2 linked regions of the Stegostoma tigrinum genome follow. The protein of the gene in region 1 binds, or shares a complex with, the protein of each later gene. Links are inferred from orthologs where the notes say so. Each region holds a gene or a part of one and is shown in the gene's direction. Other genes may lie near its edges.

What was found.
Region 2: mms19 (region 1) and ciao1 share a complex: the UniProt entries of both Homo sapiens proteins name them as parts of the MMXD complex. The link is inferred for Stegostoma tigrinum from reciprocal best matches to the Homo sapiens genes MMS19 and CIAO1.

What each region holds. Positions count from the first base shown.
Region 1 is NC_081373.1:12,313,639-12,324,170, forward strand, and holds the start of mms19 (MMS19 nucleotide excision repair protein homolog), read left to right. Parts: upstream 1-6,494; 5' UTR 6,495-6,513; coding exon 6,514-6,598; intron 6,599-10,532. Other genes in the region: ubtd1b (ubiquitin domain-containing protein 1), read right to left, coding at 4,091-4,181. UniProt on the Homo sapiens protein: Key component of the cytosolic iron-sulfur protein assembly (CIA) complex, a multiprotein complex that mediates the incorporation of iron-sulfur cluster into apoproteins specifically involved in DNA metabolism and genomic integrity.
Region 2 is NC_081393.1:10,326,992-10,338,095, reverse strand, and holds the start of ciao1 (probable cytosolic iron-sulfur protein assembly protein ciao1), read left to right. Parts: upstream 1-6,428; 5' UTR 6,429-6,482; coding exon 6,483-6,621; intron 6,622-6,719; coding exon 6,720-6,868; intron 6,869-8,301; coding exon 8,302-8,413; intron 8,414-9,645; coding exon 9,646-9,734; intron 9,735-9,924; coding exon 9,925-10,126; intron 10,127-10,911; coding exon 10,912-10,999; intron 11,000-11,104. Other genes in the region: tmem127 (transmembrane protein 127), read right to left, coding at 2,851-3,158, 4,578-4,742, 5,930-6,170. UniProt on the Homo sapiens protein: Key component of the cytosolic iron-sulfur protein assembly (CIA) complex, a multiprotein complex that mediates the incorporation of iron-sulfur cluster into extramitochondrial Fe/S proteins.

The sequences.
Region 1 (10,532 bases):
TTTCACTTGTGGCATATATAAAGACCAGATTCCAGAGTAAAACCAATTACACCAAAATTCACACTTAAAAAGCTCCAATTGACAACTGGTGGAGGAAAAATACATTTCCATAAAAATGTCAAGTTTGCATTCAACGATAGAATTCACTACTTCCAAAATGAAAGCTTCAGAGCAATTCATTGAATTAGAAACGATTGACTAACATTTAAAGCCTTACTCAAGCATCAGCGGAGGCACAAAAAGACAGGATTCAGAGACAACAGAATGACTGACATTGTTATTTTACATCTCAAGTTTATAATTAACCTTCAAATGGAAACCTCTGTTCAACAACCATTTTCTAATTTTGAGACAAAGAAAAGGGCAAGCCAATCAGAATTTCGTATTCTGTAATGAATATTAGATGATGTTTTAAATTAACATGTGCTCTGCCAGTTGATGCATAGTACTGTACTTAAAGCTCAAATAGTGCAGAGCCTTCGTGTTCCCTTCCCCACACCATTATAACATGAATGAATCAAGCACTGGTGTGGTGCCCTGTTTCAGAAGAATTGCTTCACAACATCCCCTTGGAACGAATAGTCACTAGTCGGCACAACATCGTGGGCTGAAGGGCCTGTTCTGTGCTGTACTGTTCCACTTGTTAACACATCCTTTTTGGGTTTTTATGCATTAAGCATGGAATGCGTTGCCAGCAGCAGTTGTGGAAGCAAGGTCGTTGGGGTCATTTAAGAGACTGCTGGACATGCATATGGTCACAGAAATTTGAGGGTGCATACATGAGGATCAATGGTCGGCACAACATTGTGGGCTGAAGGGCCTGTTCTGTGCTGTACTGTTCTATGTTCTATGTTCTATGTTCTAACTAACTGAACATTGTTATGTCTAGTATAGATCATGAAAATTTTGATAAATTTACCATAGGCCCATGTTTCACATAAACTAAGCACCAGATTGACCTGCTCTATTGGGTAGCGACATTTGCAAAACTGAATTAACAGATTTGGTTAACAGTTATAGAATCAAAATCAATTTACAACAGAAGTTTTTTTCTGAGGTACAAAGTAGTCCTAAAAATTGGTGCTGTTCCCATTCATCCTACGGATAAACTACCAAACCATGACCGTTTACTGTTCCCAATCTGATCCAATACCAAAAAGATAGCTAGAAACAAACCAGATATGCTTCCATAGCTTCACCAAAAGCGATTCAGTTGAGTGTACAGTCCTAGACAGCCAAAAGACTAATTTATTGTTGATTTTCCATTCATGGAGTAGACAGCATATTAACGTAGATAAAATAAAAATAAACTTTTTCAAGACACTGCACACAAAAAAAACATTTCAAAAGCAGGTTTTAAATGTTTATTGCAAAGAAAAGAAGCAAAGTAGGGATTTGAAAGAATGGCATTTGGCAGAGTGAGATCACAGAATTAAAGACATTTACAGCATAGGAGATTATTGATTCAAAAAGATTGGACTGGCACATTGTTTGGGCCAGCATGCAAGCATAACAGCATTTGCTAAAAATTGGGTGAAATCTGGATACACAGACACATTTGTCATATCTAGTTTTATAAGAAGGAAAAGAGATGAATCAGTTAATAATGAAGGGCTGAAAGCTCTTTTTGCATTAGTCTTAACAGCCTGGGATAAGAAGCCTTTTCTTTCGTTTATTTCAAAGCTAGACTGTACAATTACAGTATCATCTATAATTAATGAAGCCAGTCACTAACATATCATTCACGATTATCTCCCCATGAACATAGTTGAATGCCTCCAGTGTGTATAAATGTGTATCATAACACTGCAAACTTCATACTTCTATACAAAGGAACCCAGTGAACTGCAGTTGTTGGAAATCAAGTTGCCGGGTTCTGATGAAGGGTCACTGGACCTGAAAATGTTAATTAGGCTCTCTCTACACAAACGCTGCCAGATGATTGCTGGAAAAACTCAATCATATTTTTATACTTCATTCCACTATACAAAAGAAATATCTCCTGTCAGACACGAACAGTGGTACAAATGCAACAAACTACAACGGTCGCTAAGAGATTTACGTACAAATTAAGCTTCCACACAATCTGTCATGGTGCTTACTGTTAGACTGTATCCTAATGTGCAAACTTTCAGAGTTAATTGCAAAACTAGGGTTGATCTGTTAGACCACATGGAGCTCTTGGTTCATCACTTTGGTGCAAATCACCCACCACAATCTTATACCAGACCGCTAGATTGGGAAATAATCCCCAATACGGTTGCTTTTGTCATGCAATATAGAAAGCAATATGTTCTGCTTCCTTACTGCAATCATTTTAAATTATTGTAGAAACATAAGATAAATAAGCATTGCAAAAACTGGAAAGAATATGCTAATATGTAAATGTTACAAATAAAGTTCGTAGAAGACATAATTATGAAAAAGCTCAATTAACAATTTGCAAAGGTATTCAACTTCAACTAGTACTAAATTTGAAGATATAAATCTGCACACAACTTCATTAGTCTTCAAAAGAAAATTGGAAATACATTAAGGATACTAAGTACTGGGCTATGGGAAAGAAAGACAATGTTTTTTTTTGCTATCATTCACTCAGTCAGCTCAGAGACCTCATTCAGTGTTGTTATTGTGACTATAGTCATGTATGTTGGAAATCATAGAACAACGCACAGAAAAATCACTGTCTGCTCTCTCCATGCAAACTCTTCACCAGAGTTAATTACCTCAACCCCCTCCCCTGCTTTTTCCTGAACCCGGCAATTATTTCCCTTTTCAGGCACTAATTACATTTGTGAACCCTAGACAAAGATAAACCGGTTGAATTTTCTGCAGAACATTGCCACTTCACTTATTATATGGAAATTCCTGCCAGGAACTGTTTTGGATAAATATTTTAGTTGACTATTCATCTGAAGCAGCTACAGGTAAATTAAGTGGGGTGTGTCCCTATAGACTTGTCCTCCATTGCAGGATGACGAAAACAGCTTGTGAAATAACTTAGTTACGAATACAGCTTATGAAATACCTGCGTGAATCACAAGCTCCTAACATTCACTTTACTAAATCTGATCATCTTATCTCAGACCCCCAAACTGTAGATCAATGAAAAACTGGGCAAAGTTCTGCTGGGATAGGAGAAGCAGAATGAGGTATTGATACCGGAGGTCTGTTCGCTAATGCCAGTCTACTCAAATCTGACCTTAAGTGTAGGTTAACATGAATATCAGCCACCCAGGTGGGCAAAACAAATAATTTTTCTGGTCGGTAAAGCAATCAACTTTGTTTTGAAAACAGTTAAATAAATTTCTTATGCAAATAAGATTGACATGAAAAATTAATTCCATAAAAAGAAAACACATTCCAGCTACAAAGTAAAATTTTAACCCTTACTATCAACATTACTGAAAATGCTTATTTATCCAAAAATGGCTTTTATTGAATTTGACTATTTCAGGGATAACCAGACTTGCTGGCAGTCACTCAAGCTGTGTGTCTAAGAATCGACCAGATATACAGCAGGTCTGCTGCTATCACAAGCAGCATTCAATCTCCCTGCCCACCTGGGTATAAAACTGGCATCCAGGAAGCAAAAACAGACCTTTGGAGACAAAGCTTTTACATGGGGCAGAATACAGAGGTCAGAGATGAGAGTGGGAAAGAAAGAGCTAGAACAAGTAATTTCACTGATACATATCCAAGGTAAGTTCACCTAAACTGAATGGCTACATTAAAACATCGAGCTTTTATCCTGAAAAAATGATAAATGTCTGAGTATCAGTATCAACACAGGCATAAATCTAACATTAGTAGATAGATGGGCCTTGCCATGTAGCAATGGAAGAAATATAAATAAGGAAGTAGCTTCCAAAAGCAGCGCGTGAACAGACTTCTCATTAATTTAGTGAACTACAATTTGGATGGCGATTCTACTAACACAACACTGACACGATGGAAAATATATTGCATTGCTGGAACTAAAATTATGACCAAAAGTGAAAAAAAGTCCTACGCCATTAGCCCCCTGCTGAGCACGCCCAATCGGAAACACTGGGCGCTATCATAATTTTACACTCTTCTGCTGCCTTACCTGTTTTTCTCCCATTGCCACTCCGTCTCCCTAAGCGATGATGTTGCTGCTGTTGTTGTTGCCGGCGTTGGGTCCCCACGCAGCCTCCCATCAATGATGCCCTTGACCCAGGTGCGTCTCACCCACTAACCGCAAACCCACCTGAAGTCTGGGAGAAACTCGCAGCAAGTCCCCTGGAGCTCATGAATTCATTTTCTTAAAGACTCGCCGTCTATCCCCTCCCAAAAAACGCACACAAAAGAAATCCCACGGTCCACCTTTAAGACCCACCAGTCCGTGCAAAGTTTGGATCCAAGATAATCCCTAACCCACCCCAAAACCCCAGTGCAAACACAGAACTACCCCTCCTCTCTCTCCCAAACCAAGTAACAGCCCGTAACCGGGGCAACCAGTCGGCCCTCACCTACTTTACCTGCTACTGCAAAACTACACCAACATCTCTCATCGCTTCACCAACCTTCCCATCTCAGCCAATAAGGCAGGCTCTCTCGCGCTTTCTCTCCCTCAATGTCACAAAGCAAAAGTTGGTCTAATCTGTGAACATACAATTCTGTCTAGCTTCACTCCATATCTTTCGGAAGCTGAACCAGCAGTGACACTCCACTACCAGCCTTTCCCCACCTGAGCGACGTTACTATCAATGTACACCCACCGGCCCAAAGCGCCTGCGCCGTTGCCTTACCCCGCCCGGTGCACGCTGGGTAACGCTGGCCTCCCACACCTGACGCGCGGCCCACCGCGCACGCGCACGGGCACCTGCCACGCCCCCCCCATCGGCGTACTCTTCCTTAGCAACCGGATGCCAGCCGTTACTAAGGCGACCCCCTGAAACTAGAAATGGGGGAAACTTTACTCTGTGCCATATAATAAGGACCATGGGGTAATCTGGGTAACATCAATTGTTGACTAATTCAGAGCTCCAGTCTAAAATCTTGAGTTCGAGTTTAAAAGATTAAAGCAATTTTGAAAGAATTAAATTTGATCAGGGGTCGCAAGAACTGCAGATGCTGGAGTCAGAGACAATACAGTATGGAGCTGGAGGAACAGATTTCTGATGAAGGGTCTAGGCCCGAAGCGTCAGCTTTTGTGCTCCCAAGATGCTGCTTGGCCTGCTGTGTTCATCCAGCTCCACACTTTGTTATCTTGGATTCTCCAGCATCTGCAGTTCCTATCATCTCAGGAAGAAGATTAGGCTAGTCAACTTCTCAAACCTGCTCTACTATACAATTATATGACAGTTTACCTTATTGTAATCTCAAATCCACATTCCCACCAACCCCAATAACTTTTCATTCCCTTGCTTAAAAAGTACTTGTCAAGGTATTTCTTAAAAATATTCAAAGACGGCATTTTCAGGAACAAAGTTCCATTGTTGCTATACAAATTCAAATAATCATCTCTTTAATTTATTTTTTAAAAATGACGATTTGATCAAATTTACAGACAATACAGTATGGAGCTGGAGGAACACAGGAGGTCAAGCAACATTAGAGGGGCAGGAAACTTTCTGATGAAGGATCTAGGCCCAAAATGTCAGCTTTCCTAAGATGCTGCTTGGCCTGCTGTGTTCATGCAGCTCTATACTTTGTTATCTCTACTCTTCTTCCTGATTTGTACATCATGTGCAGGGTTACATTGTGAAGGCAGAAGGGGAATCGGTTAAATTAAATACACATAGGAACTGCTGGAGAACCCCAGAAGGTTTGACAGCATCAGTGGAGACAGAAACATGGCTAATATTTTAAATACAGTGACTCTTTAAGGAACTAAAGAAGGAAGGAGTGGGTTTTATTCTGTTGCTGGGGTTGGGTTGGTGGGTTAAGGCAACCACAGGGGCAGGTCAGGGAAAGGTTAAGAAGATTTGAGACCAAAATTAGTATGGAACAAAATGCAAAATTTTTATTAATAGGCCAAATGGCCTCCTTTATCCTTTCATGGGATGTTGAGCATCACTGGTATTGCCTTTTTAAGAAGAAAACTGACAGTTCACCACATCATTGTGGCTCACATTTAGGTCAAATCAGGTAAGGATAACACATTTCCTTCTCTTTTGGATAACCCTTGTAGCAATATTTCCATTACACCACCACCTCCCTCTTCTGCATTGTAATTATTCTGTGATTTGAGTATTGTTGAAAAAAAAATCAACTTTGACAAAAGAAGAATTTTTATACTACTTCATGTCTGCTTTTTCAACAATACTGAAGCTTTGGACAGCCAAATAACTGCGTGAGTCCGTTAAAAATGTTTTATCTTCTACATTGAATTCAGTCTCTGTTCCCTTTGACTAACAGAATTAAAATCAAAGCTGTCAAGTGAAGGAGTTTCTCTGTGTAGTCTGCAGAGTAATGAGCATGTGATCTGTGCCATTTGCGGTCACGTGACATCCAGCTCGTGGCGCATGCGCGGTTGAGTGCAGCAGCATGGCCGCCGACATGAGGCTGTTAGGGCTGGTGGAGGAGTTTGTGAGTGGGTTGCAGGACGGGGCTGCCAAGGACCTAGCTACAGGTAGGAATGGAAGTGAATGGTGCTGTGTACAGCTATTGTTGTCTGGGAGGACGAGCTGCTGATGGAGGGGTCCCGGGCGAGGAAGTGGCGCCGCCCGTCTGGCCGTGTCACCCTGGTAACGGCGCACGGACCCCAGTTTCCTGACTGGAATCTGTATCTCTTCTGCGCTCGACAGCCCTCACGTAGGCCTCCCCTAGCTTTTCAGGAATCTGTTCAAGTAATAAGCTGAGTATTGAGCAATTCCCTAGGCAAAAAAATTTCAGTTTAAGGTTTGTCTGAAAAATGGCCAGTGTAATGTTTCAGCACTGCCAGAGTTTCTCGAGTTGACCATCAATTTTGGGAGGTTGGCATCTCTGAGCTAATGTTGAAGCCTAGAGATCTAAACTTTATATAGGATATAAAACTGTCTGACTCTTCTTTTGATCTTAACTCCAATTTAGTGTTTATTTACATGTAAGAACATTAAAAAATGCACGTGACCATACAAACCTTTGAGCCTTCACCACCATTCAGTAAGACTTTCTACCCTAACTCCATCCAACAGTACACCCCCCCGCCATGTTTATCTTTATTTTTTTTAGTATCCAAAAATCAATATTTCTCTGTTTTCAATAAAGCCAATTCTTAGAGCATCTTCTAATTTCTGAAATGGCCTACCCTTTATTCTGATAACAGTGATTCCCTTGGGGGAAACATCCTCCCAGAATATACCCTGTAAAACTCTTCAAGAACTTCAGGGTTCCAATAAGATTTTTCATTTTTTTAAACCCCAAAAAACATGGGCCAAGTTTACTGTATCTCTCCTCTTTGGACATTTTCCTCACTCCAGAAATCACATTTAATAAATCTTTGTTGCACTCCCTTGAATACAGATATATCTTTCGTTGAATAAGGAGACAGAATTGCCCTCACTGGTAACCTAGTGACAGTAATTTTGGGTTTTTAATATCTAAATGGATTGAGGCTCTCTTCTCTAAGTTTTTTTTGATTGTGATAAAGCAATGTCCTGATCCCATATTTCAGGCTGCATCTAAGTATGCAAGCTGATTCTTTCAAAGCCAGGTGGATAAAATTAGTTTTACTGAAATTCTGTTTTCTACATTTGACCCCATGATCCTTCCAGAATGTGTTCTTCTATGTTCCTTTGGACTCAGTACTGCAGTCCTTAATGCAGAATGGCCATGTTTAGAACCAGATTCTGAGGAACTGTTAATTTAGGGGAGCAAACTTTATTGGGAAAACAGAGAAAATTGGAGAGGAAAATAAACATTTGTCACTTTGAATGAGAAGCATTTAACAATTTTATAACCGTTCTTGCAATTTAGCTAGAAATACTAAAAATGGCATTTTTAAAATTTGTCTATTGGTAGTGAATTCATTTATTTGTTTTCGCTGACTTTCCCCATTATTCTCATTGAAAAAAAAAGCTATTATGTCAGATGGGTTATCGGTTTCAAAGTGTCAAATTACCTTTCATTAAAATTGATTGCAGGAACTTGATGCTTCTGGATCCAGCAAAACAGTCAATGATAGATAAGACCTTTGAATTCCAAATAATGGCATGCTTTACTGGAATTTCACAGATAGCAGTAATGTGGTATTGATTTGAAAATTATTGATTCACTTAACTTTCCTTGTGGCTGGGAGTTTAGGGCTCTTAAACACCGCATCCACCAGTGATTTCTGCCTTGGGGCAGCAATCTATTCTTAATGTTGCACTGATGTATGTTGCACTTCTTAAAAATGTGGATGTTATGAAATCTCAATTAAATAATAACGTTTGCGATTAGTAATATATACAGGATGGAGAAACTTAGATTACAAATTGGAAAAAAAACTTTCCCTTGTCACAGTCATCGTCATACCACACAGAAACAGACCATTCAGCCCAACCAGTCCATGCTGACCCTAGTCCCACCCGCTTGCGATTAGTCCATATCCGTCTTATTCATGGACTTATCTAAATGTCCTTTAAATATTGTAATTTTACCTACATCCATGAATTTCTCTGGCAGTTCATTCCAAACAAGAATAGCTCTCGGTGCCAAAAATGTTGCCCCTCTTTTTTTCTTAAACAATCTTTCTCCTCTCAGCAAAAGATATCCCCCCCCACTCCTTGTCTTGAAATCCCCCATCTCAAGGGAAAGACACCTACCATCACCTTTATGATTTTATAAGCTCCGATAAGGTCAACCCTCAACCACCTATGCTCCAGTAGAAACAGGGGTCCCAGCTTCTCCTTATAACTCACATGCTCCATTCCTGCTGAACTTTTTCTGACCTCTCTCTGGCTTAATAATATCCTTCCTATGACAAGGCAACCTGGACTGGACGCAGCACTCCAGAAGATGCCTCGCTTAACGCTCCCTCGTTATTTTGCCAGATCAAAAAAGTTTTGACAATGTAATTTTGCTTTTTTGTGAGCATTTCTTCTGTTGTTTGACTCTTGGCAGTGCTCCTACAAGAAGTTTGGAAGAAGAGTTATATTCAACTCAAAGTATTAGCTCCGTTCCATATTCCACAAATGCTGCCTGACCTGATTATTTTATATATTTGTTTTTTATTTCAAATTTATACCATTTGTAACAATATAGAATCCCTAGAGTGTGGGAACAGGCCATTCAGCTCAATGAGTCCACACCAACTCAGAAAGGAGCATTCCACCCAGATTCACCCCTCATCCCTGCACCCCCATCACCAATCCACCTAATTTAGCCACCCCTGGACACTATGGGTAATTTCGTATGGCCAATTCACCTGACCTGGACATCTCTAGACTGTGGGAGGAAACCCATGCAGACATGGAGTGTGCAAACTCCACACAGAGTTCCTCGGGGCTGGAATTAAACATGGGTCCCTGGTGCTGTGAAGCAGCAGTGCCAACCACTGAGCCACCCTGCCACCCTATTTCTGCAAGTCTTGTCTTTTCAAACTATAGTTCCAGGTTTACATACTGTTTTGCTAGCCCTCAATGTTAGTCACCACCTCCGTCCTTACTTAACTCTGGTATTGAGGTTAATTGCTGCATCTTTACAGTTGAGCTTGGTTCTGTGAATGTTATTGATTGACTGGCACAGTGAACAAAGCTGCTGTTCTTGAAAAAGTCTGTGGAATCTTTGATATTTGTCGCAACTGAGAGTTACGTGTTGATTGCATTGTGCACTCCGCTTCTAAGAGTACAACATTCATAGGAATATTTTGTTTGAAAACCTTTGAATTCGGAAGATATCTTTTCTACTTATTTGCAATCACAGATATATTCAGGAACAACAACAGATTTGATAAACACTTTTTGGTAGCTTTTACCCTGAGGAGGAACTTATTTGCGAGTTTGGGCTGATATGACTAAGCAGTGTTTTTCTTAGAAAGAAGCACACTTCCATTTCTAAAGAGACATAGAAACACAGAAAATAGGAGCAGGACTAGGTCTTTTGGCCCTTCAAGACTGATCCATCATTCAATACGAACATGCTGATCATCCCACTCAGGATCCTCCCTAACCCATGGATCATTTTCGCTGTAAGAAATATATCTAACTCTCCTTTAAAGCATTCAATGTTTATGCTTCCAGAACTTTCTGCAATTGTGAATTCCACAGGCTCATCACTCTCAAGTTTGAAGAAATTTCTCCACTTCTCAACTCTTAATGACCTACCATGTATTCTTGGACTGGGGCCCTTGGTTCTGGACTCCCAGGTCATTGGATATCTCTTCCTTTGGTTTGCCCTGTCTAGTCCTGTTAGAATTTTAAAGGTTTCTTTGCCCCGCCCCCCCTGCCCCGCCCCCAACTCTGGTGGATATAGTCCTGTCCTAACCTAACCAATCCAATCTCTCTTCATATGTCAGTTCTGCCATCCCAGGAATTAGTTTGTTAAACTTCTGTTGCACTCCTTCCACTGTCAGAATATCCTTCCTCTGATGAATATGCCAGAAC
Region 2 (11,104 bases), on another chromosome or scaffold:
CTGAGCTACCTTCTCCCCTCCCCTTTACTGAAGAAGATTCCCAACCCGAAACGTCAGCTTTCCAGCTCCAAACTGTTTGATTTCAGCATCTGCAGTTTTTTGCTATCTCTTAGCATAGAAGCCGCTGTTGAATTTATTCTTTATACTCTTTTGTTTTGAAATATGGCTGATTTTCCATTCCATCAACGCATATAAATAATAGAAACCCAACTGACAAATTTTGTTGGGGGGGGGGGGGGGGGGAGGGGGGAGGAGGGAGGTTGGCTCTTCTACCAAGTCTTTCTTCTGAGCCATTGTTTGCAAGTTGCTTGAAGTGTTCAGGCAGGCAGATCAGGTGCCAGAACAGATACAGACACACCTTGCCAAACTGGACCAGAAAATGGTTACAGGGCTAATAACCTCAAACTGAGTGAGGAATAGAAGCTTGCCAATTATTTAAATTATGAGTGAAGCTGCAGGTGTTGAACTGGGATGAATTAAGTAAGAAGTTACATGACGCCAGGTTCTCATCCAACAAGTTTATTTGAAATCTCAGGCTTTCACAGCACTGCTCAGTCAGATGAACTTCACTTGGAGGAGCAGCAGTCTGAAAGCACATGATTTCACATAAACCTGTTGGACTACAACTTGGTGTCGTGTGACTTATGACCTTGTCCTACAAATTAAGTTTTGTTTTGTAGGTCGTTAATAAATGGGGATATTTACAAAAATGTGACGCAGCTAGCTTGTAATTCCATATTTATTAAAAGTCATCAGCTGTACAGCTGTACTAACGTTTGCACATCTTTATATCCTAATGCATTGATTTTGGCAGATAGCATGCTAAGGATTTGGCACCAATTCTCTGCATTTTATTGCCTGTCATCAGTCAGAGCTGATTATAATTGAGAAGATTAAGCCCCATTGTTCTGAGCTTGTTGGGAATAGTGCTGTAGCTTTCTGTAACGTTGATGGGGGAATACTTACTCAACTGCTGGCTGTTGCTTGATAAAATAAACAGTTGCCCAAGTCATTGCTGGAAGATTTTGGTTTGAGTCGAAGTTGGGTGGGGTTTAGGTGTTTCTATTGAATCTAATGTTACTCACCAAGGGTTGTTCTTGTTAGTTCACCTTCACATCATCTATCATAAAGTGCATTCATGCTCAAGATGCAAAGTCAATAAGAGATTATGTTAAAACAGAAACAGAGGTCCACAGGAAATGATTGAGGGTGTGAACGTTTCTACAAAATGAATGTGTATTTTTGGTTGACAATGCAGTTTAATTTTGGTCATTTACTACAACAGCATGCCTAAAAAATGACAACAGTTGGAACTGTTGCTCAGGCAGGGCATCTTGTTTCCTCAAATCTGAACTTAATGTGACTTGAGGAAGGGAGAGTACCTTGCCTAGGATAGTGTCTTCTAGATCCAAAGACAAGTTTAGATATCCCACTTCAGATGAGACACAATTCTCATTAAAACAAACTGTTACGATGACAGCTACAGTACCTCCAAGTGCAAATATGTTCTTTGCATGCTCTGAATCAGTAAAACACCAAAGACTCTATTTAAAATAATCCTTTGTTGATGATGTTACCATTCAACAGTGTAACCCTTCCACTTGTACCAAAAGGAGTATAACAGTCCAGCTGTGCCAATAGATGGATTTCAGTAAACCATGACATTATGGCACCTAATTTGGAATATCAAGTGTTGATATTTCTTTTGTCCATGTTCAGGTTAGGCACCAAATGGGGAAGTCTGGGATTTCTGTCATCAACTCCCTCTTCTTTGAAAGCTATCTCTGGGATACATTTTTGCTTACATATGACTAAATGAGACAAAATTTGCCCATATACGTTCATGTGGCAGTAATGACATCTTTATGAAGCCACACTAGGAATTTGTTTTGTGTTGTAGTATTCTAAAACCTGATTAGATTCTTCAGAATCTAATTTAGTCCTTTCAACTCCTCTTCCAATGTAATTAGGAGAGGGAACAAAAACTTCAAGCAAAGCAACCAAACTGAAGGTAAACAAATCCCAGTTGGTCAGTTCAGCAGCATGACAACTCCATAATGTGAACTGTAAATTTCCCTGCCCCCAAAAGATTTCTGAAAGACTCCCTTGATCTCTCTACTGAATAATTGAAAACTATTTCCTTTGTGTAAATGAGGCAAGCTGTAAAATGTGCAAGTGATTAAAGGCTAAGGTGCAAACAAGCAGATGCTTACTTTCTGACTAAGAAATCAGAGACAGTATCCTTTCGACTGCGGCAACTTGCAATACTGATTTATGGGCAGAAAATGTCCAAATCCTTTTGGAAGAACACTAACACGTTTTAGAATCAAATTGTTTTGACTAATTCAAATACTTCCAGAGCAATGTAATAACAAAAGCACATGATTGTAGTTTATTTAAAGCATTAAAAGTTTTAAAGTCTATAAAATGTTCAACTTTACAAATGTTCAAATACAGCCTTCCGAAGTGAAAAAGGTACTGCCTCTTTTACAAATATGGTCACTTGAGAAGTCAACTCCAACTTACTCAAAGGTCTCATCAACCCTCAACAGCACAAAAACATATTCGTAGGGTCTTGTGACTCAGGGGTAGTATATCTACCTCTGAGCTAGAACACCCAGGTTCTTGTATCACCTATCCTAGACAAGCACCATAACATGTCTGAACAAGTTGATTCACTGAAAATATAACCAACATTTTTGTAGTTGAGATGATCAGAGGATTCGGCCTCTAAGCAGGAAGGATGAGGCGGCGTTGGAGTGAAGTGCTTGAGGTTGAGAATTCCACTGAACATGTCTGAACAGTCAAGTGAAGTGAGACTTGAGATGAGAAAATAACGTGCCCTGAGATTCAGGGTGTGTAGGCAGGTGGAGGCTGGAACTGGTTGACAATTTCATATTCCACTGGATACGGTTCGTTCTCTTCCATTTCTGATAGCAGTTCCAGTGCTTGTTCCTCTTCCTCAGTTGGGTAGTGTCGAAGGAGGTTAGCAGCCGTCGCCAAAATGGATGCTCCTCCAGCACCTGCCACTAAGTAAAAGCTAACTGCAAAGGTCACATAGACACGGGAACCATGATATTTTTTGTGTTGCTGCTGAAGTGCGAGGATTAATTCTGAGGCCCAGTAGCAGAATCCAATCACCGTGGCACACTGCAGAACTGCAAACAACAAACAAAGACAGTGAGTGGAGCAAGGATGGTGGGTGCCAGAACAAAATCTGAACAGAACTCATGGCTAATTCATCCTTATCCACCAGGCTTCAACACCATAAGGTTTGTTGCCAGGATTCCAAACAGAATTGGAAGGTTATGCAATGAGATGCTCCTCGAAGTACAGACAATTTAGTGAACCAATCAGCAGGAAACATGGGAAACAACTGGGGTCTAACTGGAAGCCTAGCAAACAAAGCCATCATTCTCACCGGGAAAAAGGAGGAAGGAAGACGCATGTGGGGTAGCATGAACTGGAGTAGGAAAGGGTAGTGATGTGTATCAACAGAGTTTGTACATGCAAAGAGAGTGCTCACAAGTGGTTGGAAGGGGACAAGAGATGGAGTAAGGACACTAGGGTAAGACTGCAATCTTGTCTCCGAGTGAACTGAGGTGTAAACAGGTAAACGTTCACAGCGAAGTGGGTACACGGAAATCATTTTCTCCTTTTTTCAACTTCATACCCACAAAGCGGGTTGCAACAGCACAAGCTTAAATGTAACCTGCTCCTGATGCCCACTTTTCTCCTAACTCCACTGAAGTCAGCTGGAAGCATGCAATACCAAGTCTGAGTATTTTGGTTGATATTTGTTTTAAATTCAACCAAGCCCAAGCTCAATCTCCACTCCCTATCCTGATTCTCACCCCAAAAGCTGAACATCTGATGTTTGACACATTTTTACAGCCATTTTAAGTTATTTATTTGCATTATTCTTTGTTCGCTTGGAGTTTTTCTCTGAAATTCATGTTTACTGCAGTGCCAAATCACCCCTTATGAAGAAAGGGAACAACCCTGCACCAAACAATGGCAGAACAATTATGATTAGTCAGTTCTGAATAATAAACACAGGCAAACAGCTCTTTCACATAATTCATGGGACATGGGCATTCTCTGCTTCAGCCTGCATTTATTGCCCATCCCTAATTACTTAGAGGACATTAAGAGCAATTCTTCAGAACGTTTGGATGAAGAGTCACGGGACTTGAAACAGGAACTCTACTTTCTCCCACAAGCGCTACTGGACGTGAATTTCACCAGCAATTTTCATTTTTGTTTCAGATCTACAGCATCAACAGTCATGTTTCATTTAGAAAGACGGAAAAAATATGTACTCAAAAGAAAAAAAACAATATGCTAATGAAGGGCCTCCTGCTCATGCACTTCAGCAGCAGAGCTGAAGGAGGAAGTCACCAAGTACTTATGCACTTCATATTAATGCCACAAATGCTGATTCACAAAGTAGAAACATCTTCCTTCTGAGGATGTAATCATTTCAAAAGCACCTTGCATAATGGTGGTTTAAGGGTTAAAAATAAAGCCAGATCAAGATATCACATTTACAAACATCTAGTTTCACTTGGACATACCTGTGAGAATATGAGCAAAGGCATATCTACGAGTAATCTTCAAAGCTGGATGTTTTGGTCCAAATACATCAAGGAGAAAAGCAGACAAACTGCAAATAATCCCCAGGAAACAGAAGGCACCAATGACCCGCAACAGGAGCACAGTCTGATGGTTCATACAGTAATCTGGAGACCAAAAGATTGAGTGTCAGGCCGTTTCACCAAATAATCAACAATCAAGCAAAATTCAAGATCATTGAAACTAAAATAAAACAGAAGGTTTTTTTAAAAACCATGACTGTAACTTTCCACTAACTTCAACTCATTGTTTAACATCAGAGGGAAGAAAATCTTCCTCCTTATGTCAAGATTCATGTTGCAAATGGATTTCTGTGGCAGCGTTCTGGAAAAGGGTCAATGGACCCCAAATGGTCACACTGATTTTGCTCCACAGATGTGGCCAGACCTGCTGGAATTTTCCAGCAATTTATTTCTTATCAGTTGGTACTTTGTTGGTCAGACTCTTGCCTCTGAGTCAGAGGTTATGGGCTCAAGTCCACTGTTGGACTCACAACAAAGATTCACATTTCACTGCTCAATTGAGGGAGTATTGTGTGGTTTGACATGCCCTCTAGACACAATGGAGCCTCTCTCAGGTGGACAACACATATTACAAAGCACCATTTCAAACGACAAGTAATAAATCGCTCGACTTCTGACCAGTATCTGGTATTAAAGTATCACGTAGTTCAATGGTTAACACTGCTGCCTCACAGCACCAGGAGCTCTGGTTCAATTCCACCCTCGGGTGAATCTGTATGGACTTTACATTCTAACCAGGTTTGCCTGGCTTTTTTCCAACTGCTCCAGTTTCCTTTCACAATCCAAAAGATATGCAAGTTATTTGGATCAGCCATGCTAAATTGCCCGTAGTGACCAAGGATGTGCAGGCTACACGGATTAGCCATGGGAAATACAGGCTTGCAGGGATAAAGTTGCGGGGTTTGGATGGGATGTTCTTCGGAGGAACTGTATTGACTCGAGGCACCAAATGGCCCCCTCCCCCACAGGGTTTCGGACGATCTGGTCACTGGGACCTTATTTGCTGCGCTGCCGGATTTGGGACACCTCGTCGTCGTGAAATGCGCGTTTTTCCCTCGGTATCGTGGACAAGTAACAAGTCCCAATTTATCCTTCGAGTGTGGTCAGGGAATCTGACACAGTTACAATCTTGAGAAACTAAAATGTCCAACATCGAGGCAGTGAAAGAGGAAATACGGAATGCATTCCGACGATACCGAGCCGAAGCGTCAGCACCGCCCTCTCCTCTCGGTCTCCACCTACGCTCACATATTACCTTCCCAGTTCATTACCTTCCAGCAGGGCCGAGTCCAGGCGTCCCAGGACATCCGCAACACCGAGCTCCTGCCGCGGGCACATACCCCCGTGCGCGCGCAGCCAGGCCGGTTCCGCCAGCGCCGTGCACAGCGCAGTCACCGAAAGCGCGCCCGGCACCGCCGACGCCAAACTCCGCTCCGTTTGCTTCGGTAGAGCACCCCCAGCTCCGGAACGCCGGCGTGATCCTGACAGACCGGCTCCCGCAGGTCCATACATTGTCCTTTCCGGCCTGGGCCGCCACAAGAGAACAACGAACCACCGAAACTCCGATATCAGTAACGGACGACGACGACGACGACAATAAACGATTCCAGCGCAGCCATCAGTTTCGCATCCGTTTTCGATCCGGATGTGACGTCTGAATTGTTGGGCCAGACTGCGCCTTGGTGATTGGTGATATCTGCGCTTGATGGACGGGGGTCTTAGCCAATAGAAACTGGATACGGGCAAGACCTCTAACCAATCCGGAGCAGGAGTGGGTGTGGCGACGGCGCTTCTGGTTCGGGGGAGGTCACACGCGCGCCTGGGATGAAGTGGCGGTTGACGCTCGAGTCCCGCTTCTTGGCGCATCCCGACTCCCGGGCCTGGTATGTGGCCTGGAGCCCGAGCGGTACGCTGCTGGCTTCGTGTGGAGGCGATCGGGCAGTGCGTATCTGGGCCAGAGAAGGTGCGGGCGGCTTCCCGATTGATCTGCCGGGGCGGGGGGTACGAGGCCTGGACAACCGCATTTCATTCTCCCGACTCTTGTTTTTCCACACCCCCCAGGGGCCTCCTGGCTGTGCAAGTGCCTCCTGGAAGATGGGCACCAGCGGACCGTGCGGAAGGTCTCTTGGTCGCCCTGCGGTACCTACCTGGCTTCGGTCAGCTTCGACGCCACCACCTGCATCTGGAGGAAGAAGGAGGCCGCATTTGAGGTAGTGCACTCTGAACTCCCGCGATGGCTTCATGGTTTTTGTTGCTGGACTCTTCATCCAGAGACCCAGATAATGTTCTGGGGAGAGATAGTGGGAACTGCCGATGCTGGAGAATCTGAGATAACGTGGTGTGAAGCTGAATGAACATAACAGGCCAAGTAGCATCAGAGAAGCAGGAAAGTTTGACATTTCAGGTCGAGACCCGACACGAAACGTCAAACTTTCTTGCTCCTCTGATAATGTTCTGGGGACCTGGGTTGGAATCCCACCATGGCGGATGGTCGAGTTTGAATTCAATGTCTGGAATCAAGAATCTAATGATCGTGAATCCATTGTCGATTGTCAGGAAAAACCCATCTGGTCCGCTAACGTCCTTGGGGGAAGGAAACTGCCATCCTTTCCTGGTCTGGCATACGTGTGACTCCAGACCCCAACAATGTGGTTGACTCTTAACTGCCCACTGGGCAATTAGGGATGGGCAATAAATGCAGTCAAGCTAGTGATGCCCTTACCCTGTTCATGAATTTAAAAAAATCACTTTATTGGGGAATAGGTGTTGAGGACAGAATCTTGTCATGAAGGATCATTCATTTAAGACAGAAACGGAGGAATTTCTTCTCCCCTGGGCTAGTGAATTTGTGAAATTCTTCACTGCAGACAACTGTCAAGATTGGGTTATTAAACGTATTTGAGAATGAGAGACAGATCTTTAGTCAGTAAGAGAAGGATGTTGCGAGTGTTGGAGTCTTTGAGCTATCAGGAGATGCTAAATAGGCCGGAGCTGTTTTCCCTGGAATGTCAGAGGTTGAGGGGTGACCTTATTTATAGAAGTTTGTAAAAGTATGGATAGGGTGAACAGCTAAGGTTTTTTTACCCAAGGTTGGTGAGTCCAAAACTAGGGGGCATACGTTAAACATCAGAGGGGAAAGATTTAAAAGACCTTGGGGCAACTTCTTCATGCACAGGGTGGTGCGTGTACAGATTGAACTGCCAAATGAACTGGTGGAAGCTGGGTCAGTCACAACATTTATAAGGTGCCTGGATGGGTATATGAATAGGAAGGGTTTTGAGGGATATGGGCCAAATGCTGGTAAATAGGATTAGATTAATTTGGACTATCTGGCTGAGTTGGACTGAATGGTCTGTTTCCATGCTGTACAGCTTTTATCAGTCTGCAAGACGCAGATGAGCAGAACACCCTGCCAAACCCACTGCTATCGTTGCGTTCTGAAACGGCTTTTGGAAATAATGTTTTCAAAATAATGCTGGCGACATTTCTGGCAGCAGTTTTATTTATAACTTGAGTCTTGTGTCAGCTTAAAACATGAGATAAAGTTGTTAGTTACATTGGGTCTTCTATGAACTGTTTGAATGGAATGGACTCGGTATAAGTTTGAGCGTTTGTTTCTCAGGCCTAGTGTTTGTTTTCATAGCTTTTGACAACACTGGAAGGACACGAGAATGAAGTGAAATCTGTCGCCTGGGCTCCATCTGGCAATCTCCTTGCAACTTGCAGCCGGGATAAAAGTGTATGGGTTTGGGAAGGTGAGAAGATATTTTGCATAGAATACCCTTTGAAAATGCCATTCTGTAAAAAGCACCCGAGACACCTGTCTTAAATGGTGGTAGAAGCAGAAACCGCTTAATATTTTAAACAGTTGGTGGAGATGCACTTGAAGTTCTGAATCTTAAAAGCAGACTCAGCTGGCACAAACATGCTGGGCTGGAAAGCCTCTTTTATACTTGAAATTTGCATAATTCAATGAGATATGTCTTGGCTGTTGAGCCTTAAAAGTCACCCACGATATTGATAATTTGTATAAAGGGTGTATTCTTTCATGGGCTGTCCCAACTTGTTAAGACTCAATGACTGTGATTGGTGAACTAGTAAGAATTGCAGGTTTCCATAGCCAAAAATCATCCATCAAATTAATACACACATTAATAGTATTATGGTCACTGTTGCTCAGATCTGTTTTCAGTTCCATATTTTGTTAACTGAATTTAAATTTGACTGGCTGTCCTGTTCTAAACCCACATTCTGCAGAACGTTGACCTTGGCCTGTCAATTCCGATTGTAATGATGTCAACCCTCTGCCATCAACTCCTTTAAAGATCATGTATTGTCTCAATGATAACGAAGCACAAGACATAAAAAAATGTAGATGGGAGAAAAACGTTACAAAGGCACAATAAACCTTGAGTGGATGCAAGAGTCAAATAGAATCAGATTTCACATAAAAACTGAAAAAGCTGCGGATGCTGTAAATCAGGAACAAAAACAGAAGATGCTGGAAAAGCTTAGCTGATCTGGCAGCGTCTGCGGGGAAAAAAAATTCAGAGTTAACATTTCAGGGCTAGTCACTGGCTAAACCAAGACATAACTTCCATCCAGAGCACTGTTTAAACATGTAACTTCCCTTTTGCCCCAAAAGGTGTGGCCATTGCAAAACTTGATTTATGATGAGATTGAGTCTGAGATACTGAAGAATAATGTTCCAACTGCATTAACAGTTTCAGAAACTAATCAGGTGATGCAATAGACTCCAGGACCAGTTCCTTGTCCTGTTTCATCATGCAGATGTTATGACTTGTTTATTACTGATGGGGAAATTAACAGAAATGCTGTGTATGGTTTTATAAACCTGTTATAGGCCTGTCACAGACTCTCAGCTGTCTGAAATTGGTAGTGTACTGTGTTGAAGGATTACAGCTCAGTCCACGGAGTAAGGACTCTATATCAAAAACTATTGATGACATTCTTATTTGCCTTTTAGTGGATGAAGATGATGATTATGAGTGTGTAAGTGTACTGAATGCTCATACCCAGGATGTCAAACATGTAATTTGGCACCCAAATGGAGAGGTAAGAGTTCACAAGAACGACATCGTTGACATTTCCAACTGCTGTACTTAGTTATTTGCAATGTCCGTGTTTTCTGATTTAGATTGGATATGTTGTCTTATGAGCAAGATACTGACGTACCTTTTCAAAGACTTGACATAATAAGGACTGCACAAGTAATTGTGGATGTGTATTTTGAATTCAACACTAGCTCCTGGCTTCTGGAAGCTATGATAACAGCATTAAGCTGTATAAGGAGGAAGATGATGACTGGGTCTGTGTTAACACTCTTGAAGGTCATGAGTCTACAGTTTGGAGCATCGCATTTGATAAAACAGGAGAGCATTTGGTATCTTGCAGTGATGACAAAACTGTTAAAGTCTGGAAAGCATACAGGCCTGGAAATGAACAAGGTAGAGTAACTGAACTGAGCATGATGTTATAATTATCATATCATCTTGTGAAATGTTTAAATTTAAAACTCATGACACTTACCCTCAGAGAGAGGTGCAACTGCAGGGTGGAGTGCGTTATCTACCCCCTTCAACTTGATTTTGATTTAATCCCTTCCATGGCACCCAACCCCCTCCCTCACCTTTTGGTCACATTACACTGTTGTTTTTGGGCTTTGTCAGTAATCTGATTAATTGAGAAGATGGGTGATGAGTGGTGAGTAAAAGAAGCAATCAGTTGTGTGTAATAACACTTCAGCGTGGAAAGAACCTGACACCGGATACTCCATTGGACACCCAAATCCCCTGAGCTTCCAGACCCCGCTGTAGCTGTGACAAAGTATTCCACTACTGTTTGTGTGGATTCCCGTGCTGGGCTCTGCTGGTTCAACTGCCAGGGCTCCTGACCCACGAATTTTCATCACCATCACCTCGAGTCGTATTAGAGACTTGTTCTCTAATCTTGATTGGAAGTGAGGCTTGTAACTTGGAATACAGTTAGAAGAGAAGATTTCAGTCCATCCCGTTCTGTCTCAGGTTATTGGGTCACAGAAGAGGTGGCTTTTGAGTTAATATTTCAAGAGGCCAATTAAAAATGATTCCTCTTTAAAGGTTTTTGTATTGTTGACAAAACAGTGTTGCATATTTTACAAATGTCCTTCCAACCTGAAACATTGCAACGTTTTGATTGTGCAGTGGGAATCAGTCTCACGTGGACTTGCTAATTCATTATCTTTTTGGTGCAGGCGTGATATGCAGTGGATCAGATCCTTCTTGGAAATGTATCTGCACTCTATCTGGCTTCCACAGTCGCCCTATCTATGACATTTCTTGGTGAGTTCAAAGACATAATTCCATCAGTAACCTTTTCAAATGGCAAATTCCCCATTTCAAATGCTTTTATGACTGTCACACCAACACCACCCTCATTCTAACTGG